Coturnix japonica: one gene and its partners. The main gene of each other region encodes a partner of the protein of the gene in region 2 in a complex. Links are inferred from orthologs where the notes say so. Each region holds a gene or a part of one and is shown on either strand. Other genes may lie near its edges. The genes, in order: ACVR2A, INHBA and FST.

What was found.
Region 1: the proteins of INHBA (region 2) and ACVR2A are in contact, whole or in part, in a crystal structure (PDB 7U5P), measured with the Homo sapiens proteins. The link is inferred for Coturnix japonica from reciprocal best matches to the Homo sapiens genes INHBA and ACVR2A. Residues at the interface, in NP_002183.1 of Homo sapiens: Ile340, Ala341, Pro342, His346, Arg397, Pro398, Met399, Ser400, Met401, Leu402, Tyr404, Asn409, Ile410, Ile411, Lys412, Asp414, Glu421; in NP_001265508.1 of Homo sapiens: Asn36, Asp53, Lys56, Phe61, Thr63, Lys65, Val74, Lys75, Cys78, Trp79, Leu80, Asp81, Asp82, Ile83, Asn84, Val100, Phe102.
Region 3: the proteins of INHBA (region 2) and FST are in contact, whole or in part, in a crystal structure (PDB 2P6A), measured with the Homo sapiens proteins. The link is inferred for Coturnix japonica from reciprocal best matches to the Homo sapiens genes INHBA and FST. Residues at the interface, in NP_002183.1 of Homo sapiens: Asp315, Phe327, Asp337, Trp338, Ile340, Ala341, Gly344, Tyr345, His346, Gly360, Thr361, Gly363, Phe368, Thr371, Arg397, Ser400, Leu402, Tyr404, Asp405, Asp406, Gly407, Gln408, Asn409, Ile410, Ile411, Lys412; in NP_037541.1 of Homo sapiens: Trp33, Arg35, Val44, Leu45, Arg60, Phe76, Met79, Asp135, Glu152, Pro154, Glu155, Val180, Val181, Asp182, Gln183, Tyr188, Val190, Arg221, Thr224, Cys225, Arg229, Ser230, Ile231, Gly232, Leu233, Glu328.

Annotation. Positions count from the first base shown.
Region 1 is NC_029522.1:31,388,472-31,396,205, forward strand, and holds the start of ACVR2A (activin receptor type-2A), read right to left. Parts: upstream 4,877-7,734; 5' UTR 3,560-4,876; coding exon 3,505-3,559; intron 1-3,504. UniProt on the Homo sapiens protein: On ligand binding, forms a receptor complex consisting of two type II and two type I transmembrane serine/threonine kinases.
Region 2 is NC_029517.1:76,021,800-76,029,659, reverse strand, and holds the start of INHBA (inhibin beta A chain), read right to left. Parts: upstream 3,920-7,860; 5' UTR 3,814-3,919; coding exon 3,021-3,813; intron 1-3,020. UniProt on the Homo sapiens protein: Inhibins/activins are involved in regulating a number of diverse functions such as hypothalamic and pituitary hormone secretion, gonadal hormone secretion, germ cell development and maturation, erythroid differentiation, insulin secretion, nerve cell survival, embryonic axial development or bone growth, depending on their subunit composition.
Region 3 is NC_029547.1:17,652,538-17,660,260, reverse strand, and holds the start of FST (follistatin precursor), read right to left. Parts: upstream 4,657-7,723; coding exon 4,575-4,656; intron 2,705-4,574; coding exon 2,513-2,704; intron 2,136-2,512; coding exon 1,917-2,135; intron 1,578-1,916; coding exon 1,353-1,577; intron 233-1,352; coding exon 2-232; intron 1-1. UniProt on the Homo sapiens protein: Multifunctional regulatory protein whose primary function is to antagonize members of the transforming growth factor beta (TGF-beta) superfamily including activin, myostatin, GDF11 or bone morphogenetic proteins (BMPs).

The DNA of each region.
Region 1 (7,734 bases), on a different chromosome or scaffold from region 2:
ATAAATATAAAAAAATCAAACCATTCCCCAGGCTGTGGAAATACCTACAGCATTATCTTTGAATCATTTCTTCTGGCTAAATGACTCGACTCCCAAAAAGGCTTAAGAATGATCCAACATTCGGGGGAAAAAGACAGGATGCGGACCTTCCTGATGTGCTTGCTTTTGTTGAAGTGATTTTAAGCATGAAGCATGCAACAAATTCAGGTCTTGTTCCCTGCTGGAAACTCAAAGCTGGAGAACTACTCTGCTGCCAACCTCCCAGGTACAGAGAAAGAACTGATAACTCGGAAGAGAGGAAATGATCATTTGGGAGATACCATTAGGAATTTAAAGCTGCAGCTTCCGCAATAGAAGACTTTGGTTAAATAGAAGCCACTGCTTCAACATCTCCCAACACTCACAGCTGCACGGGCTGCGTGCTCGGAAACAGCACAGAGAGCAGTGAAGGCGTACAATGTATTCCTGAAAGTTCATAATGAGTAACTCGGTAATGACGAAGGGAACACAGAAACACTTCCTTGGGGGTGGGGAGAACAGAGATAGCATCTGAAGGGAAGTGTTCCTTGATGAACGTGCTGGTTTATTCACTTTATTAAGCTTGCTTACAATGAGCAGAGGCACGGGAAGCGTAGTCTACTGTTCAGAAGGACTTAATTATCATTTCAGGATCCTTGGCTCTTTATTCAGGCAAACACCTCCATGGACTAACACACACGGAGGGTATGAGAAAGACGGTGCTCAGGGAACTAAACATGACTGCACAGGGGCACTTTGAAGTTTAGCTCCTGCACGTTCAACTCATTCTCTTGGATGAGTATAAATGGGTGCAAATCCATACCCACTTTTATCCAGCCATCCAAACTGCTGTGAAGGCCGGTACCATAACACAGATTCTCTTATTTAAATACCACAGTCAGAAAGTGGAAATATTCCCACGTTCTTAGCAAAGACTGATAGATTGAACTCACTGGCAATTCCTACACCTCTGAAGGAAGCTCCCAGCATTCTGTACAGCAGTTCAGAGATCGTTAAATAAAACGCCTTCATGCTGAAGCCCACTTCCACACCCATGGCACAGAACAAACCATTTTCACCTAGTTAAAGAACAATAGCATTAATGGGCCACGTAAGCAACTTTGGAAAATAGCTGCACAAAGGACACTGCAAATAAATAAAGGCAGAAATCCAACACCCCCACATGCACACATACATACATACATACATGCACAGAGCCCAGCAGCTGGAGAGTGGAACCAGTCGCCTTTACACCTGAACTCCTGCATTTCTTCAGCCACTGCCAATATTCTGGAATAAACAATCGAAGGAAGGTTCCTCCCCCCACCCCCCACTCCGTTCTCCGTTGAAAAACTGTAAAGGAAGCTTATTCTTTTGACCATGATGTGAGAATGGACTGATCAATAGGAGTTTGAACCTGAGCGAGTGCCAGCGATCAGAAGGAACGCTGCTCATCAAAGCGCTGGACTTCATGCTGGAAGCTCACAGAATCGGATGGTTCCGAGTGTAAAAACAAAACCTTCTCTTCATGTTTATACCCACACCAGGTCTGCAGAAGCTCCACTACTCCAAGCAGTAGAGCAGAAAATAGTTTAATGTGTGTTAAATACCAGGATACTTCATGTGGAATACAGGAATAACCACCACAACGATGCCCTTAATATCTGAACCGCTGTCCAAGTCACAGCCAACCTTCCGATCCCTTAGTGAGGATTATTCCTACCTTTACAGGGAGGAGAAATATTTGTTTCACCGACACCACCGTGACTAAGAAATGGAGAAGATGGGACAGGTTTTGCTACTTAACGGCTCTTTTTAATGAACGCTAGATAACAAGGTCGCTATTCTGTGCTCCAAGCAGAGGGAGCTCGATAGAAAGAAGGACGTGGAGGTGAGAGACAGGCAGGAGGAACAGATGGCACCACGGCTTCAGAAATGGACAGAGGGCTGGAAAAGTTTCCCTGCAGAAGATATTCCTGAATGGAGAGGAATGTGGTTCCACGAGTTCTTCCAAAAGAAGCTATCAGGGAAAGATGAAAGGCAGCTTCCAGGGCAGGACAAAATCACTGCAAGAAATCGCCTGCTGTTTCGCAATAGGAATAAATGGCGTACTCTAATCTGAAGAAAAATAACCCAAAAAACCACTCCCATCTCTCCCTAACCTGCCCTGCTATTTGTCTGCTTAAAACAGAAAGGGTTTTTTTCAGTTTCTCCCTGGCAGAGATCGCCATTTCACAGCACATTTAGCCCACACGGAACTGATCAATAACACTACAGACACAAGACTAGACTATCCATTTACTAACCACAAGAAAATGTGCCGTTCAGCAAAATCCCTCGCATCCTAAGGCTGAAGTTTTCAAAGGCATCATCGCTCTGCAGATCTCATTACCGCCCTGGAGCAGTCCCGCACAAAGCCAGCCGGCCTTCAGGATGAGCAACAAGTGTGTCCCTGCACTGCACAGAACAGAGCCCAAAAGTGCATCGACACACACACAGAGGGCTGCACACACATTCAGCACGTGAGCAGGAAGGGTCAGGCTCAGCACACGAGCAACACATCGAGTGTTACACAGCTCTGCAGGTTTCAGGTGCAGCTGGTGGCAGCAGCTCTCCAGCCACCGGTTGCTCCATCACCATTTCCCTCCCAGCCCAAAGGATGGAGCCTCTCACACCGCTCGTCTCTGAGGTCTGAGAGCCACAGCACGACCGCCGGGTTTCAGGCGCTAAGAAAGTGAAAAACCGAACGGCAAAACACGAAACCCAACAGCTGAACACAAATCACTGTTCGGAAATGGAAAGTCTGGCTTTTCGGGCTGTTTCGGTGCACGCACCGATACGTGCTCAGCCCTCGCTATCGGTGCGGGATGAGCTCATGCTTTCACAACAGCAATTATTCCGAACTAATGAAGCATTAATGAAGGTTGCCATCCACCGCTGGACGCTTCCAGAGCCCTAAATTAAGTTCGGAATATTTCACAGCTTGGTAAATAATCCACTGGAGCAAACACGAGGCCGGGAACTGCCCACAAGTGAACGAGGTGGGCACAGCCCCGGGTGGGACCCACACGAGCACTATGAGCACTGCACGTACCTGAAAGAGTTGTGCACCGGGGAATGACAGTGAGAACAGGAATCTTTCACTGCCATCCCCAAACGTTTGGCATTTCATAGACTCACTGAACGGCCTGGATAGAAAAGGACCACAAACTGACCCAGCTCCAACCCCCTGCTGTGTGCAGGGTCACCAACCAGCAGCCCAGGCTGCCCAGAGCCACATCCAGCCTGGCCTTGAATGCCTGCAGGGATGGGGCATCCACAGCCTCCTTGGGGAAACTATTCCAGTGCATCACCACCCTCTGGGGGAAAAACTTCCTCCTGGTATCCAACCTAAACCTCATCTCAAGAAATGACCTCTCGTCCCACCGATACAATCACCTCGTGCTTCCAACAGCTGAGCCCAAAGCAACAAAAGCACGCACTCACCTGAAGAACACGAGATGAGAAAAACAGCGAACGCTAACTTCGTAGCAGCTCCCATTTTCCAATGGCGTTAGAACATTTAAGTGACTTTTAGCATCCAGTTTCTCGGTCCTGCAAGCCGGACAATCCCCTCTTCTTGCGGAACCGTTATAAAGCGATCTAGAGCAAACTTCTCCGTTGATAGTGTTCACCAAACAGTAAAATCGGGGTCGTTTGGAGACCGACGGTCGCTTCAAAGCGAGAATCCGGGTTCGGGGGGGCTCGAACTATTGTGAGCGGCGTTTCAAAACACACGTGTCATTTGGCTTCTGGACCAAGAGCGGCGGGATTTAATTCACAAAAGTACGCTACGAATCCACGGCAAATAAAGGAAGATTGATTGAAGTCAACGGCGGAGCCGCCGGGTGCGATCCGAGGCGGTGTGTATCGGCGCTCACTCCGTCATGAAGCTCCGTGTTTCCCCGCTCTATGTCCCGGTTCCCGTTATGCAGCGCGGGGCTCCGGGCAGCGCGGTGGCTCCATGGCGGCTCCGGGCAGCGCTCCGACAGTCCGAGCGGCAGCGGGGCTGAGCGCTCCGCTACGGGAAACACGATTTACGATTCCCCCCCTCTACGACGATTCCTCCCCCTACGATGCTTCCATGCCCCCCCCACCCACCCAGCTCCCCCGAGACTCGGCTTGGTATTTAAACGCAAAATGAAGGGAAAAAAATAATAATAAAGAAAATAAAGAGCAAAGCAACGGCAAGGCCAGGCACGGCTCCCGGTGGCTGCGCTCCGCGGGGCCGCTCAGGGCTGCACGGCCGCCCGCAGGGCCCTTCCCTCGGCAGCCCCCGGGGACATCGCCCCGCAACGAGTCTGCTGCTTTTGAGGGAAAAACAAACAAATAAACGCAAAAGAGAAGCAGGACCGACAGGAGAAGGGCCCACAGGAGAAGGGCTGACAAGGAGAAGCCCTCGTGCCGCCCTGAGCTCCCAGCCCTCAGCCCTGAGCTCGCAGCCCTCAGTCCTTATCTCCCGGTCCTTAGCTCTCCTCCCGCCTCACTCCCGTCCCGCTCGGATCTCGGCTGGTCTCTCCCGTCTCCCTTTTGCCGTTGTCAGAGCGGCGGACACCAACTTTGTCCCTCCAGCAGTGCGGTTTGAGGGTTGCCGAGGAGAAAAGGCCGAGCCCGGTTTCGATCTGCGGGCGGTGCTGGTGGTTGGAGCCGTCTCTAAAGTCTCCCAAGTCCAACCTGCAGCTCGGAACGACCCTCCGTACCCTGCTGCTGCCGCTGCTCCCCTGTGGTAATTTCATATCTACCCATTCACTTGTGTGGCGTGGAGAACGGACCCAAGATGGCGGCGCCCGGCCGATTGTTTTTGTTTCCTCTCCTCCTCCCCCTCCCCCCCCTCCCCTCCACACTCACGGCAGCCCGGCAAGACACGCCGTGCGAGAGCGCGCCGCATCGGATTGACAGCCGCGCCGCCCAATCACAGCGCGAGGAGCGCCGCTCGGCCCCGCCCCCCTCCAGACCCACCCCGAGGGGGCGGGGCGCGCTCCCCCCTCCCCTCCCCTCCCACCTGCCCGCGTGTGCGCGCGCACGGCTGAGGAGGCGCGCGAGCGGGCTGCGTGCACGCGCCCCGCCTTCCCGCCTCAGGGCGTGGTGCTCGCGCCGCCCTCAGAGCTGCTCTGTGTAACGACTGCGGTGGGAAGCCCTCCTTTATTTAATGCCCCGTTGGTGGCTTTAATAGATGCCCATAGTTTGCATCAGGGATAAAGAAATGCTTGTTTAGGTGTTGAGGACTGATGTGGGGAAGCACAAAGGCCTCAGCGCTGGGATTTAACTTCTGTATTTCTGAAGCAAGAAGCACCAAGTTCTCAATAACTACATCACTAACTATAGATGTGCATTGGAGGGTTACGGTCCAAGTTCCCTTGGTGGGGAGCTGTCGTTACGTGGTGCTACATTGGGTGCTGTGTGCGAGGTAATTCACATGTGTGGGTTTGCAAGTCAATCACAGAATGACCCGGGTTGGAAGGGACCTCAAGGATCATGTAGTTCCAACCCCTCTGCCTGGCAGGGCCACCAAACGTAAGTCAAGGCTGGGTAATGGCCTCAAGTTGTGCTGGAGGAGGTTCAGAGTAGATACGAGGAGCCATTTGTTCTCCAGAGAGCAGCCAGGCACTGCACAGCTGCACCGGGTGGGGGTTACCATCCCATGGATGTGCCCTGGATGTGGGCATGGGGGGTGGGTCCACATGGGGATCTCAGAGCTCTTTGTTAACCTTAATGATTCTATGATCCTCACTTCAAACACCAACACAAAGTCATCCTCCAGTGACGTTTTTGATTGGAAAAATACCCCAAAATCAAACAAGCCGTATGGGATCGTGCGCATCATGAAGCACCGGGATGTGTGGCAACACTTTTTATGCCATTTTTTTTAATCCAGGCATTTCAGGATGATTTACAAGCATTAATTAATGCATTACAACACTCCTACTTAATCTGTAGCTTTTAATATTCTTCAATAGCAGAGTATTTAAACGTGACCTGTTCTGCAGGTTGCGTTTTCACTTTGCTCAGCTTCTTCGGGATGCTTGTCGTGTTGCCACATGAGCAGGAAATTACAGCTAAAAATATTGCCATTGTATGTGTTTATATATATAGATAGATAGATATAATAGCACAAATATGCCACCTGTGTAACATTTGCATGAATTTTGTAGGAAGGAAGGAGGTATCTCGAGATTTCTCAAGTTGCTCCTTGTTCTTAACCATGGGCAGGTCTTTGCCTGCAGTGTCAGTTGAGCAGAGTGGAGCCTCCTGGCCATCCACAAAAGCAGCGATCCTCCTTAAAGGGCTGATCTCGGCCATTGTATTCATCAGGATCAGAGGAATCATAAGCAAAACATATATTCCTTTATTTTTTCTCCAATTTTGAAGCCTTATGCGACCATGGCAAGTGATACGTCTGGGTTAGGATGACTGCTGATGTCTGGGGTTAAGGAGCCCACTCAGTCTTCAGTCCAGCAGTATCAATATTATTATAGGTATTGGTCTATTTTCAACTCTAAGCAAGCCTTTCATCATTTGCACAGCTACTTAATGTAGTATAAGAAAGGAAATAATTAAGAAAAAGCAGAAATGTGCTTATTTTCAGTATGTGAACAATAAAACCCGGTTTTCTTACATGGATGCAACACCTTTAACTGGGCTCAGCTGTATCTTTGGAAACACAACATGAATAGAACTGCATCAGAGATTCGCTCCTGTTGAATTTTGCTTCCAAAAAGAAATGAAGTAGATAGGTGCAAATATTGTGCAGGCCTTAGCAGGAATTACTTAGTGTTTTTGTGAGGTACTTGATGCAGAATGCTTTGTGCCTGCTCTGGGTTCTTGCTATTATTGTTTGTAAAAGGATGAGTTTTATCCCACGAAGAGATATGAAATGTCAACACAGTTGCTGTCTCTTTTTAGATGTCTTTTTGCTTGCCTTGCTCACGTGGATTTTGGGAGCATTTCCCTTTTCTACCTTGTCACTTTTTACTTCTCTTTTCCCTTTGCCTTAAACTCCAGCTCTTCTTGCCCACTTCTAAGATCAGTCTGTCTGTGTGTTTTTAATGAATCATTTACTGTGACACATGAGCACTGAAGACACAGTATCAGGGACATAGACATCTACAGGGAGCCTGTGAGCAGCAGCATTAACACCATGAAATGGATGTGATCTTAGTTTTGTTCTATTGTTCACATTGCTTGGTTTAGAGGCAGCACAAATGTAACTTTCCTTTTAGGGAGTAATGGGAATTAAAAAAACAGCATTGTCTCATTTTTCTTTTCAGAGCGCTGCTATGATTAGAGGGTTTCATCTGTGCCTTTGCCGTTCCCACACTGGATCAATACTGTTTACACAGAAGCAGCATTGTAGGTAAGAATCTATTGTGCAAGACTCATTCGTAGTCTCTATGCAGGCATTTTTAAAATGCAGAGTAAGAAACATGGGCTTTATAATATCAGCAATAACAATAATAGATGCAACCTTTGTCATTACCTCGTTAATCTCCCCTTGTGTTCTAAGTATACCTGGAAGGAAAAGAGAAACGTGTTTCAAACGCTGACCTTATAGAGCTGAGACAAGAAGTGAGCAAAGCAGCAGGAAATCAGTGTTGTTTGCAAGGATCTCCTCCTTTCTAGGCAGCTTAGTTTTCCATACTGTGGGAAAAGATGCAGATACTGCAGGGCTGCCTGTTT
Region 2 (7,860 bases):
TGTAAACTTTTGCCCAATACAGTCATTACATTTGCAAAGATCTGCCTGGATTTGTTAGCTGTGAAAACTACCTGCCAACTATTTTGCTGATTTCCTGGACGTAACTACACCTGTGTTTCAGACAAGTTCACTGCATGTAGTTTTTCTCCTAATTGTCTGTATCCTGTGCTCACCTGAATTTTTATAAAAGAGCAGTCTCAAGCCAGAGCCACATGCACAGGGTACTGTCTGTTCATTCACTCAGTTTCATTGTATGTCTGAGGATACAGCTAGTGAAGGATGGAAATACTGCTTTTTTTATGAAGGCAAGCAGTAAACATGGCTTCTAAAAGGTAAGGGGAATGGCTGGCTTATGTCAAGTTATACCTAAAGGAGCAAAAAGCCTAAAGTCTTACTTCTCTTTCAGTAGACATTTATTTGATATAAGGCAATATGCTTCCATTCATTTTCATTGATTTTCTATCCCCTTTTGGAGAAGCAGCAAGTTTCATATTAAAAGCAGGAAGAACTTTAATCTGACTGTGAGAGTAACACACTCAGTTTTGCTCCTTGGTGCTTTAAACTTATTCCAGTTTCTACAGAGTGAACACTGGTAACTGCTCATGCGGCTATAGTATGTTCCTGACTATTTATTCCTAATAATTCCTATCTGACACACTACTTGCCTTCTTTTTGTCTCAGTTTCCTCAAAATAAAGTTGAGACACAATACTGCTGGTGGAGAAATGAAAGAGAACCCAGGAAAAGTTTTCTCAAGTTATTGCAGCCCTGGAACCTGTGCAGAATGGTGGGTCCACCACTGTTAGTGAGGCTCCAACTATGAACAGCTACAGATGAAAAGTAATGTTTCAACAACTGGAAGTCTCTCTGCAGAGTGGAGTTAACATTTCCACAGTAAGCCAAAGCGTAGAACTCAGTTTCTAGGTTGTTTCTTGCAGTTAAAAGCCTATCATGCATGGGATGTGGGCCTGGAGTAGCCTTCCAGGACAGGCTTGGTGGGGAGCTGGAGAGGAGAGCAAGAAAGGAAAGGCATAGGAACATAGCATATGTCCCTAACATGCTCCATAACATATAACATAAGTCTTCTTAAATGAATTTGGCTATCAGTTATGGGACAATACTATCTAAATCAAATTCAGTGATGCACTGGTGTGGGGTTGTTGCAGCAGGGGGATTAGTGGCTGAACTATTGGCCAGCCTGTGGGCTTGGGCATGATTTTCTCTGCTCACGTGGCCCTGGGAGCCATTGGCTTCAAGAGCCGCCGTTGGAGAATGTCGTACTGAGTGGGCATATATCAAATTCCAAATTCCTTTGTGTGAGAGCTCAGGAGAGACAATAATGTGTTTACAAATGATTGGGACTCACACAGGGACGAGAAACCACTGCTCATGCCATATATGTTTCAGAATGAGCTGCTGAATACCAGGTGGGGAATCTGACTCGTAGAGATTTCGCTGCTTTTAAAAGCTCATTTCTAAACTAAGGTTGAGCCACCCCTGGTTCTGGGGACCTCTGGCACTGATGTCTGCCTGCTTTCTGAAGTGGTGGGGATGGAAAAAAAAAAAAAAAAAAAAAAAANAAAAAAAAGAAAGAAAGAAAGAAAGAAAGAAAGAAAGAAAGAAAGAAAGAAAGAAAGAAAGAAAGAAAGAAAGAAAGAAAGAAAGAAAGAAAGAAAAAAGAAAAAAAGCCTGAGCTTGCATGCTGAAGGGACTGATAATGTGTGTATTGACAAGAACACCGAAGGCGAGGGGTCCCTGTGCAGTTGGAAATTGGACAGGCAGCAGGAATGTCTGATCTTAAAAGCATGCACACTTCTTATGCATGGCTTCCCTGCAAACAGAACATCTGAGTCAACAGGTTTTCAGGACTGGAAACTCTGAGTGTTGTCTTAATTGTTTATACTGCTGCAGCAAACTTTTAAACAAAAATGTTTGGTGTTCCTTTGCATACTTTGCCTACCATATGCTGTACCAAACAAAACAATGACATTCTTTTAAAACTGTCTTGGCAACAGGAAAAATGCTTTGGCTAGACAGCATCATAAAAAGTTGCTGTTAGATGATAGAGTTTTTGCAGGATATTGACATTGATGCATGCATAAACATATATATGCAAACAGATACATATGCACATACACATCCACTGATTTAAAATGAGTTTTTGTCCTATTCGTGTAGGAATAAGACAGTAAACTACAACTTTAAAGCTGTTTCTGATAGGCAGTTGATGTGAGCCTTAGCCATTAGTTAATAAATATCTATATTCTTAACCCTTACTATACAAGAGTTAGGAAAAAACAGAACTGTGAAAAAGTTCAAAATATAAACTATCAAAGTTGCTTTTTTTTTTCTTTTTTCTTTTTTCTTTTTGGCAGAAGCAGTTTAGGAGCAGAATTTTTTTTTCCATCATGCAGAAGTCTGCATTACAAATTGGATCAGCTACAGCAACTTGTCCAATTCTATTGAAGTCATCTGACAGTCCCTGCAACTCTTTATTGCCGAAGATGCTGTGTTAAATTAGAAAACAAAAAAGCCCTCTCACTTCTAAAAGTTAAAGCTGGCTCATCTGATTTTATAACTTCCACTGTAATTTTTAAAGGGCAGTTTCTCAAGTAGTTTGCAGCTTACTTTTCTGTCCTTAGAAAATCCCCAAATGCCTTGAGCCCTTTTTCTTTCACCATCAGCACTGCAATCCAGTACTTTAGTGCAAGTACTTTGGTTTCAGAAGCAGTTTGGAGCACCCCTTTGCAGCCTGACTTTCTGCTTGAGATGGGTTAAAGAGCTTCTTCCCTGCGCGTCTGCCTGTGACTAGCAAGTGCAATCTGCAGGCAAGACTAAATCAGAAAAATCAAATTCCTTCAGAGTCCCCGTCACCCCTCCACCCCCCACCCCACCCCATTCGTCCTTCTCCCTTCCCCCAGGTCTCATCTCACAACCTCGCATAAAGCAGTACTGCTACAGAGAAGTTAATTGCAGTTCTGATAAATAGGCTGTTTTACTGCTTTGTTTTTAAGCACTCACCTGATTCTGCAAAAGTGATGATTTCTGAGGTTTGTTCCACAACTTCATTCATTTCTGCTCTTCTTCCAACATCATCCTCTATTTCCACATAGCCATCGTCTCCCACCTTTCCCACATGGAGTTTCTTGATGGCATTTAAAAGTGCTGCCTTGGGCACCGGCTGGGTGATGTTAGGTCTGTCCCTCAAGTGCAACATGTTCAGTATGTGCCTCTTTACTGCTTCCACCATCTCAGGCTGTGAGCTGGGCACATCCTTCGAGAGCGTGGTGAGGGCACATGATGGACAGTCAGTGACTGAACTGTGCCCCTCGGATCCTGGGGTTGGGGAACTCCTCACTATAATCCAGCAAATCACCAACAAAAATCCTCTCTTCCAAAGCAAAGGCATCCTGGCAGCAAAAGTTGTTGTGATTCCCTTTTTAAAAGGCCCTGCTTTTCCTCCCCCTTCACGCACAGTTTTTTTGGGGGCTGGTTTGTGTTGTTTGTTTGTTTGTTTGTTTTTCTTTCTCTTCAGCAAATTCTCTGGAACAAGAACCAAAAGTTTTCTGTGAAGTTTTGTTTGCAGGTTCCCTCTCTGAATGCAATAAGTGCTGTAGATGTTAGTGGCTGTCAGGGAGAAGAGTTCTGACTCTGTCTCAGAGTAGGAGAGAGACACAGAGAGAGGGAGAGAGAGGGAGAGGACGGATTGGCCTAAAGTGAGTGAGTGAATGGGAGAGGGAGGGAGTTTTGTCTGTGAGTAAAGGCTATGATTAGGAAGGGGGAGGAACAGGCAGGCTGGCTTCCTTATGCTCATTGCTCCTCTAACACACACCTCTCTTCAAATATCACTACTCAGGCTTTCTGCCCTCCTGTGTAAAATCTCTTAATTCCTGTAAATTTACTCTTCCTTTTTCCCAGTTTGACCCTCCTGGGGCTCCCTCCTGGCTGTCGTCCCCCCTCCTTTTTTTTTCTTTTTTTTTGTTTTGTTTGGTTTGGTTTGGTGTTTTTTTTTGTTTGTTTTATTCCTTCAACAGTATCTCTGGCTTAACTAAACAGAGGAAACATGAATGAATGAAGAATGAAACCTTTTATTAATGAGCACCTTGCTCTTGTCCTGTATGGTATTGTTAGGGTTAGCAGGAGATCTTAAATAGCTTGTGAACAAGACCGGGATGATGGCAGGGGCTGAGAATATTTTGGGTAGAATGCTATTCTGCCTTGAGTAGAAAAGATCTTTTCTGCTCACTTGTAAATGCTGGAGGTTATCAACACTGGCAGGAGATCTGACAGAAACAAAATAATCCTGTTGTTTGGAGGGCTCTATTATACTTGATACTCTCTCCAGCTGCAGAATGCAAGCCAGGCACTGAGAGCAGGAGGAGCTGGTAGGGCACAGGTCTGTGACATGCAAAGGTACTACTCAGGAACCAAAAACATCCCTGCTACTATGCTAGTCTGTGCCTAGAAGTTCCTATTTAGGTTTGGGAATAATCAAGTAATGTCTGAAAAATGCTTTGAAGACGGAACATATTACATGTCATCTGGCCAAATCGTACTTGCTCCTGACTCAAGCAAATCCCTCATCAGTGCCAATAATAATTCTGTCTGAGTGAAGACTGAGTAAGATCTTCTACATTTGGCCCATTGTTATTCGAAGGAACTTTTTGTTTCATCCATTTAAACTACACAATCGTAATATTAGATCAAGACATAATGAGTGAAATGCAATCTTAAAGCACTGCTAGGAGCCAGAGTTCCAGTCCATGTCAGCAGAACCTTAGCAGTTTATTCCAGTAAGGCTTCTGCCCTGCAATGGGAAGTCTCTGTTAAGGCTTCACATTGCCTTTAACTTCAGCAGCATCTCCATTCTCCACCTTACTTAGCGAGGATAAAGCTAACAAACTCCTTCACACTTGGAGTTCGTAACAGAAACTGAGAAAACTACAGCTGATGGAGTTTAACTTCTGAGGTTCTTTCACGCTGGACTTGAACTTTTTCTGATTTTCTCAGAGCTTCTGCTTCTTTGGTATTTACCTTCTTTCATTCTCCCTCTCTCTCTCTCTCTCACACACACACACACACACACGCACAAACCTCTTTCTTCTTCTCAGGTGTGCTTACCTCCTTCCCAGAAAACATTTCCCTCTCAGTGTATTACCATCAACCATTGTATTTTAGTGGGAAAGAATAATTCATAAAGATAAGCATTGTAAGGTCTGTCGTTTTAGTGAGATAACTACAGGCATGCGGGCAGAGAGACAGGCAAGGGATTATAGTTAGAGTAAGTGAAACATACAGAAGTAATTGAAAAATCAACCAAGTTTTACAAATGTTATATATTTCAAGTCCTTTTCAATTAAGGTATTTTATAAGTCTTTCACTGTTAGAAGGCATTCACAGTACACCCTCATCTGCGTTTTACTGACCTCAGTTGCTATACTGTTATATACTGTTACACTTACAGGTCTGTCAGCATTATAAGCCCTGCAGCCATCTTGGTAACACAAACCTCGCTATAATACATTGAAATTTCTTGGATCTTGTGAACAGCCCAAAGTCTGAAAGTCAGCTTGAAATAGAACTACGAGTTTAATTGGACAAAAAAAAAAAAAAAAAAAAAAAAAAAGAGAGACATGAAAATACGCATTCATGATTAGATGTACTAACAGATGACATAATTAAAGGCGTTATTTATAGTTCTAATATAGTATCTATCCCAAAAGCGTCTGATGAAAAGTAAGAGATAGGCACATTTCAATTTAAAAGACAGACAGTACATTTGAGTTCATGTTGTGCGGTGTATGCTGCTTGCCTATATAACAGGTACACTTATCACAGTCTATTACATATAGGTATACTGTAGCATACCCACATGCCATGGTGATGACAGATTTAACGTTAAAGCATAACTTTCTAAAAGCATTGTTTTCTAAAAGCGAGTTTGCTGGTACCATTGATAGAGAGTTCATTCATACTTACAAATATGCATGCATACATACATAGATGTTCATGTCAAAAAACACAGTGTTTGAATAAATACAGAAACGATGGCTCAGATTCTTTCCATAAAATTACCTGAGCTGCAGAGCTCTGCATATGCATTCATCCAGCACTGCCTTAGCAATAGCAACAGCATGCACATGAATTAAAAGTTTTAGTTTTAAAAAGGAAGAAGCTGGTTTAAAGTTTTACCTCTCTAGTCCTCACTCTGAGAAGGAGACTGCTGTATTGTGCATTAAGAACTGCTGAAGTTCCTCTTTGTGGTACTTATAATGCGAAGCTTTATACTGTACTTCTCGTGTGTACACTCACATATAGTGTCTGTCAAAAGTAAGTGGGCCGGATCAGTGTGCTGGATTGGTTAATCCTGTTACATCAGCAATTGACTGTTTTTCCTGTATGAGACATACTTCTGGTAATTATCTAATGGAAACTCCTAATTGTCTAGCATGACAAAATATCGTGGATTCAACTTGTAGTGGAGATCTCTGTATCCATTTAAAGAATAGAACTTCAAATCAGACTGAATGCAAACACAATGAGTCAGGAAGACACTCTCCAACTTGTTTTATTGCATAGCTAGTTATAGATATTATGTAGTGTAGATAACACTGATTTAGTTCAAATGCAGTATTTGCCAGATATTTAATTACTAGTTAGCAAATTGTTTTAGTCTGCTATCACGCTAAGGATATACCAGATAATCTAACTGCAAATTTGGATTATTTTCAAATTCGGGAAAATGCATCTGCTTAAGAATCCTTTTGCAGAGGATATAATTTTTAGTTCACTCTTTGTATATATATGTCCTTTTGTTAACTTAGGCATACTTTTAAAGTTCTTCAAAAATGAATCATATTGCTCATGTCCAAGTCTCATGGCTTCTTGACGTGCAGATTACATCACTATTAAAAACTATTTAGACATCTAAAAATAAGTTAAAATGAATTACAGGTGAAATAAAACCAACTTAAATTTCCATTTCATTTTACATTAACAAAACTCAAAAATTACTGCCTGCCAATTAGGCAGTACAAAATTAATATATATACATAAGGTCAAAAGTAAATTCAAAATCAGTCTCCTTTCTTAAATACACATAATAACTGGTTTTATGAGGTACCGTTTATGACAAATGGCATGATCATGCAGTCTTTACTCATTCAAAACACCCACTGATTACCAGAAAATCCCCATCCTTCAGATTTTTTATTTTTTTATTTTTTGGCCTGAATCGTACTTACAATTGTATTTTTATGTCCTGTTGGTAATGTAAATTTAATCTGTCTCAGAATAAGACTGCTGTGGATCAGGCAAAAAAAAGACTTGAAATTTTCAACTCCCTGATACCAGGGAGTACTCAGAGCAGCACCGATTCCAACCAAAGTATGTGCTCTATTCACACAACAGCTTTAGTAGAATGAGCAAAAAATCAGGAGTTAATGGGAAACATATGACCAGATAGGTTGTTTTGTTTCCCACTTTTTACATGCATATAATAAGTTTTCAAGCTGCAATGTGCTGTGGATTGAAGCCTCTTGAAACAGGTTTCATTAGTTTTTTCTGCAGTCTGACACTGAGGGTTCCAGTTGTTGCAAAGAACATTTTATTTTTATTTTTCCTCCTTGAAGGACAGCGAGAGAGGCATGCTTGAAGAAACAGATTGTGAGCATGCACGTACCTACTTCTTTGCAGGACAGTCACTTTTATGGGGATCCTAAACCCAAGCTTTGACAGAGGTCTCAGAATGGTGTTTTTCTCAGGACCAAACTGAATTTGGTTTTAACCAGTGTCCTCTGAAATTAGTTACATACTGGTGGCACAGTGACTGCTGTCATTTGGCAGCAGACAAGCACTCAGC
Region 3 (7,723 bases), on a different chromosome or scaffold from region 2:
CAGTTGCAAGATCCAGAGTGCTTTACTTCTAGAAGCACGCCCATGGAGCAGGCTGCCTCCTTCATGGCACACTCGCTCGGGTAAGTCGTGTTATCACTGGCACAGACTGCCTCGTCTGACTTGCTTTCAGGGCAGAGCTCATCACAGAGGGCACATCGACCTCTGCCAACCTTAAAATCCCACAAGCATTTCTTCCCAGCACTGCATTGAATATCTTCACAGGACTTCGCTTCTAAAAATACACACGGAATACTAGAGGTAAGTGAACAGACAAAGGAAACAAAAAAAAGCAACCCCTAACAGCCCCAAACTCAATTTTCCCCAATGAACTATGAATAGTCAAAGCTAAAATGCAGTAGCTGGGATGATTCTTGATGGTCTTAATCAAGTAGACCCTTGGATACCACTGCCTATCTGTACAGTAGGGAGAAAGGACAGGTGTGCCAGTGGACCTTGGCCCTAGCAGTATGGAATTACATTTGCCTATTGCACATGACCTTTCTGCTCCATTTCCTGTCAGTGGACATTCAGCTCACCAAATTAGTGATAAGTGGAGAATTTGTCAACGCATTCAGCATTTCTAAATCAATTACTTTTAAACTAACCCACATAAAGCTGCTGTCTACAGGATTGTTAAGGGAATTCACCTCAAGCTGTGCCAACCAAAAGCAGCCTGAGATTCTCCAGCATCTCAGCAGCAATTTGGAAGGGCAGAGGTTGCCCTAAAGTTGCTTCCTTGCAACATATTTCACTATCTCCTCTTTCTCAAAATCACAGTGCAAAATGTCAGGATGCACAGAGGTTATTTTACTATCTTCACCCGATAGCTGTCCCCAAACTCTGCAATATTTTTAAAGAGTAAAAAGTAATCAGATGTTTCCAATTAAATTAATGCAAGCTTTGCCAAGACCACTTGAAGACAATTGTTTCCAGGAATTCAGATCCACTGAATATCAAGACCTTGTTATGCCGTAGCCATGTAATTATCGGCCTAATGGTGGATACTTCTCTCTTGGACACAAATGTCAGCACCCACAGTCATGGCAAGAGGAGCAGGATCAACCCCTCTATGCCCCTTTTGCAGTTTTTTTGTTGGTTTTGTTTTTCCTGGAGCAAAGCTCACTCTGACTCTCGTTTCTTATGGAGAGGAAAACAAACCAAGGCTGCTGGGAGTCTTACCTTCTCCAAAGCACAAACTTACTCCCTCCTTCCCTCACTTCCCTCCCCCTTCAAACAATCCATCCACCCATCCATCCATCCATTCACCCACCCACCCACTTCCACATAACATGATAAAACAGATGAGTTTGCAAGCTCCCCCCTGCACTTATCCCTCTGGCCAAGATACCTACTGATGCATTTTCCCTCGTAGGCTAATCCAATGGATCTGCCCAGCAGGCAGGTCGCTTTTCTCAGGTGGCAGGCACTGGCATAAGTTATGCCATCATTCCCACAGAGATACTGTTCAGGGGAGGTAGGCTCAGGGCAAATTCGATTACATGTCACACAGTAGGCGTTATTGGTTTGATCCACCACACATGTGGAGCTGCCTGGGCATAAAACATCCCTACAGGTCTCTGAAATAAAGATGGAAACAAAAAATGATTAATAGAATATGTGGGCGCCCCAGTGAGGAGTGAATTGGTGACAGAATGATACAAACAATCGGACAAAAGCCTTCAGCATTGGTACTCATTTAAGGGCTGCTGGAGACCTTTCCATCTCAGGGTAGCATGAGGAACACAACTGCTGCTAAACTGTGAGGAACTCTCAATCAATCCAGCTATATCCTAGACTATGAGCATGGTTGGAACATCACTCTGGTTACTGTGGAGAAGCATGCAGCTCCTCCTCTTTACACTCACACACACATCCTATGCCATTTGATGGAAATTGGAAGAGATTTGCAAACCTACTTTTGCACTTGCCCTGATACTGGACTTCAAGTTCGGGCTGTTCTTTACATCTGGCTTTGAGAAGGGCACACTCGTTCCTGTAGGTTTTCCCATCTAAGCCACACACGGGGCCCTTCCAGGTGATATTAGAGCAATCTGGAGCACAAACACACCGAGGTTTGTTCTTCTTGTTCATTTTACATTTCTTCCCGGGTCCACAGTCCACGTTCTCACATGTTTCTGAAGGAAGGAAAGAGGCATAACTTTATTACCAAACATGCAGAAGAGACTTGTGTCAAAAGCGCCCAAAGCAAAAAAGACATGGAGACCCCCGGGCATAAAATGACAGCACCCCTCACACTGCTACCATGCAGGAAACAGACCTGGAAGGAAATCCTGGAGCCAGGAGAGCCACGTGCAAAGAGCCCCCTCCCCATCTCCCACTGACCTGTGCGGATGAGGAGCAGCAGTCCCCCTACCCCGGCGCTGCTTTGCGATGGCCCTCAGCCCTCGGCGGTGGGCAGCACGATTACAGCACTGCCGTCTCCAGGCCCTCATCTGGCCACCCCATCAGGCCACCCCAAGCCCGAGCCACCCGCGACTCCCGGCCCCCTCACCTTTGCACGGGATGCAGTTAGGGGCTCCCCCATTAAAAATCATCCACTTAAAGAGCGTGTTGTCGTTGACGTCCTCCTCCGTCCACGAAGTCGTCAGGCGGCCGCTCTTGCAGCACTCCTCTTTGCTGAGGTCGGTCTTGTAGAGGACCTGGCAGCGGCCGTTCCGTGCCTGCCGGAGCCAGCAGTTCCCAGCTGCGGGGGACAGGGGCGCACCGGGCCGGGTCAGTGCCGGGACCAGCGGCACGGGCACCGCGCGCGCTTCGCACTGACTTTTACTGGACTGCTGGCATTATTTGTCCCGTTCCACAACCCGCATCCGGCCCGGTCCGCTTGGGTGAGATAACAATAAATAAATCAGAAAGAAAAAGACCGGATCAAAACAGCACGAAGCAGTTTCCCAGGTCTTTACTCCATATGTAGAGCAGAAGGAGCACTGCCGGCACGTGACAGAGGCTTGAAAAGGATGTGCATTTAAAAGGGAATAAAAAGAAAATCGCGCTTGCAGTTCCTCCCTCCTCCCCCTGCCCTCTCCGACGCGGCCGCCCGGCAGCATTGTGTTAGTGCCGCACGCACCCCAGCCCCAGCACGTTTTGCAATCCGCACCGACTGGGAACATTCGCTGTGAGCGAACTCTTTCGAAATCTCCACATTTCGCTTCTTCTATTAACAAACGTCTTCCCTTCGCTAAAACAACTCAGCGGAGCTCCGACAACAAAGACAAGAAAAAAAGTCAGCAAAGTACACGAAACAGGAGGGCACCCCGATAGAGCTCCCTGCGGAGTTCTTCAGAATCGATCACACTGGAAAAGTAGGAGGTGCTGTCTCCCCCGCGAGCGTTTCAGAGGAAAGCACGCAGCACGCTGTCCTCAAACCGGACAGTGGGTTTTTTTTTTCCTTTTTTTTTTTTTTTTTTCCTTCCCCCACTGGTATCCCTGTTATTCGTGGAGTCAAGCCAAGAACATGAGTCCAAGCAACTCCCCCTGTTTTAGCTGGAGAGTTTGGGTTGGGATGAGCCTCTCGTGCATAACCAGTGTGACTCCACCAGCGACTCGATACCAATTGATTATGGTGCCCACCCAGCCAAGGCTCGATCCTGCTCCTTCCTCCAACGGAGCGCACCGCACCAGGGCCGGGCTCGGCCCGCCGGGGCGCCGCTGGGCGCGAGGAACATCCTCCCCTCACCCCTCCCGGCTACAAAACATGGAACAAACAACGCCCTTGCAGAAAAGAAAAAAGAAGAAAAAAGAAAAAAAAAAAAAGAAAGAAAAAAGAGTTTTGCGTCTTACAGTTGCCTACATTAACTATTGCTCTAACTCGGGAGGGGGAGAAGAAATGGGAAAAAAAAATGAAAACCCAGACATGCAGGTTGGGACGCAATCAGTATCAGGTGGAAAAAAAACAAAAACACCCCAAACTGCAAATCACTGTTTCCTAGTGTCGAAAGAGGGCTCTTAAGAGTTGTCAGTATCAGGTTCAGGATCGTTTTGTTCGCATGGGAAAGAATAATTAAGTAAGCAAACTTATTTAGGCACACTCCTCATAGCAGGAGAATTTACAACACTTATTCACACACACACAAAGGGGGTGGGGGGAGGGAAGGAAATCCCAATATTGAGGGAATGCCCGGAAAGTGACCACCACCGCTTCTGAAAGTGTCAGCTGTGCGCCCGGGGCTTCTGTCAGAAGGCGAGATAAAAATCTGAGTAGAATTACCAACAAACTTTGAGCACTCGCTCGGGACATGAGCGCAGGAAAGTTCCCCGCGATGCTGCTCCTCATTCACGCTGCATAATCACGAGGAGTGCCAAGAAACATCCCCCCGTGCCCTCCGTGCCCATGCGGAGCAGGGAAGGTCCGAACCGAAGGGGAACCTACGTGACATCTCCGCGCCCTGTCCCGAGCAGTCCCGCGCCCGCTGCTAACTTCTGTCCGTTCGGACCTTGGAGAGAGGCGTGTAACAAACATCGCAGCGAAGTAAGCAGCGCCCGAAAGACGGAAAATAAGAGTAATAGTAACAACACTAATAATAAAACACACTTCCGAATAAACGCTGTGGTCTTACCCAGCGCTGTGTGATCTTCCATGAAGTGGTAGAGAAACATCAGGAGTACGAGCATGCCCGGGTGGATCCTCTGATTTAACATCCTCAGCGTAGCAGGGAGTGAGAGAGACACAGGAACAGCGTGAAGGGGAGTAGAGAGACGGAGCGAGCACCAGCCAGCCTGCTTATGATCGCTCTATTGAATGAACGTCAGGCTCTGAATGCAGTCTCTCTTTAAATCTATACGGGGGTCTTAGCTGTCTGCGGTGGGCGGTCTCCTAATGTGTGTGTGTGCCTGCTCGGGGGTGGGGAGATTTAAAAAGTTCAGTGTGAATCAGGTGACATTTTCCACCTTCTGGAAACCCTCTCCAATTATCTGCTGGAGGTGCACGCACACACGCGGGCGCGCTCCCCCGGGCGCGCACCCGCGCAGCCCCGCGCGGCGGCGGCTCGGCTCGGCTCAGCACGGTGCGGTGCGGCCGGAGATCGCGCAGCCTCCGCGGGCGCAGAGCGCGGTCCCGGCGCGGGGGGCGCAGCTGGGAGCGGCGCGGCTCGGGAGCAGCTCCCGGCCGGGGTTCTCCCCGCGCGGCGGCTCCGCGGCTGCCATCCCCGCGCGGAGCGGAACGGAATGGAGCGGAGCGGGGCCGCCGCGGGCGGGGAGGCGGCCGGCGGTGTCGCGGCCGGGGCTCGGCCCCCAGAAACCCGAGAGGGAGAGAGCGATCAGCCGAGCACCAAACAAACAAATAAATAAATAAATGGAAAGAAACCAAATAAAAGTTTAGTACGTAGGGCTCTGCCCAAGTGACGGCCTTTTTCACTGGGAGCCTGGGAGGACGAGACGGGAATGGGGGCGACGTAGGCGGTCTCCTTTCAGAATCAGAAAAGATTGCAACATCGATAATGAACTTCTAGGGCACTAGTTTATTAAGCACAGTCTGGCATTATTCTCCTCTTAGAAAAGTTGGCGGTCGCTCATTTATAACATTTTTGGCACCGCTGAATGAAACTGAGTAGGCGATATTTCCTTTTATACAAAACGATTACTTAACGGAAAATGGTATTGTTTATTCAAAAGCTGCCTTTTTAATTTCGATTCTTTCGCTTTTCTGAGCCACCAAAGCACAACAGACTGCGAAGTATGCAGACAGGAATGCCCGGACAGTGCCGGGTCAGGGCCCGGTGCGCGCGGCCGCCCGCGCCTCCCCCGGCCCTCCCCGAGCCCTCCTCCGCGCCGCCTCCGCCGCCCGCCCCCTCCCCACAACTGCAAATAACTCAGCGATAACAGATTTTTTTCCACCAACTGCAGGAGATAGTGCTAATCTTTTAATAAAAGATCCCATTACAATGGGATCTGTCTGGACAGACTATAATAGATCCAGAAATACAGCCGTGCTAATATTAGAAGACAGTTGTTTGGGTGCCTCAGCCCGGGCCCGGGTCCCGCTTTGAAAGTGGGCATGAATCACAATGTCCCCGGTGCCACCTGCAGTCACACGCATTAAGCGGCAGACTGGTAAATGATTGACCTCGTCGCATTTCTCTCTCTCTCTCTCTCTTTCTCTCTTTTTTTAATCCTTCATTTTTTCCTATTTCTTCTTTTTTTACTCTTCTGTCTTATTTTCTTTCTTTCTTTTTTTTTTCTTTTTCTGTTGTTTGTTATCATTACGACCACTGTCCCGCCTGGCGCCCAGGCATTTTCAGCACTTCGGGAGCACCGCATCCTTTTAAATCTATCTTTCTCCCGAATTGGTGCCGCTCCCTCACTGTCCCTGCCTCTCCCTCCGCGCACGCAGCGCTGAATGCAGGGTTGCGTAGTGCCCTCTAATGGCAGATGGCATTAACAATTGACATCGCAGCACTCCGGAGCCGCGAGGGAGCCCTCCGAGGCCGCCGCTTCTCGTGGAGCGGACGGACAGAGCCCCGCGTAGCGCCCGGCGGCAGCAGCGCAGCGCCGCGATCCGGCCCTGGGCACCGTGCGGGCGGCACTGCGCTGAGATCTGAGCCTGCCGCTCGCCCCGAGCTCACCTTTCACATAGGCTCACCTTTCTCCTGTTTTTCTCTTCTTTTTTTTTTTTTTTCTTTTTCATTTTTTGGCTCCCCTCTCCAACTTTATGATGTATTTTTCTTTCTCTTTTTTCTTTCTCTTTCCCTCCCCTCCCCCCCCCCCGGCTCCCCCCAAAATTGGCCCATATGGTGTTTATCCTGAAAATGTTTTCAACTATTAGAGAGGCATTTTCAGGCCGTATTCCTGGAAATGAGATGCCGGATGGGTCAATAACGTTTGCACATGTGCTTCATGCGTGCATCATCGGGAGATCAATATGATTGCGCTGGTATGGAGATTTGTATCACACCTGTTCTCTGACATCACATAGAAACAGCTGCTGTTTCTTTTATTGTTTTGTTTTGTTGTTTTTCTTTCCCCCCTTTCTTTTTCAAAAGCTAAATTTTGGGTTTGTGTGTAATGACATGTCAGGGATATATTGTACAAACAGAAATGCTCTCTTCTTTTTCAGTGTGTCCCTCCCTCTTGAACTTCCCCACCTTTTTCTCCTTTGCCAACTATCACATTTAAATTACCAAAAAAACAATAGGGTTGATCTGTAAATGAATTGTCAGGCAGCACACAAAAAGAGTGTTGTTCTCAGCCTGTCGGATTCTGAAACTTCTTTCTACCAAGAAGTGTATACATTTTAATATATGTGTTTGGATGTGAATCCATTCTCTACAGCTGGCCCTGAACTTAGAATAATAAAGCTTTTTGAAACACCCGCATACGTTGACATCTCAAACGTTTGGAGAGTTCAGATATAGCTCTCGGTTTGTGTAAAATGTGTGGTTTTGTCCTATCTCTAGTAGAGCTGTATCTACAGCAGACCCCAAAATATTAAGTGGCTGATCTCTTAGGAAATTGCTGTAAAACACTGAGTAGGAGGAAGAATAATCCCCAAGTGTAACCTTGTGTAACTGCTATTAACGCACATCCATGTATATGTGGATTATTTGTTTCATGATAAGTCAATATTCACTGCATCAATATGAGGTATTTTGTGTACTCTGTCTCCCTCAAAGTGCAATCTCTCGGCAGAGGAACTGTTGCCTGTGTCAAGAACAGGTCACCTCAGGACCTTCTCTTTAACAAGGAACATGTCTACTTAAAGTTTTTGTGG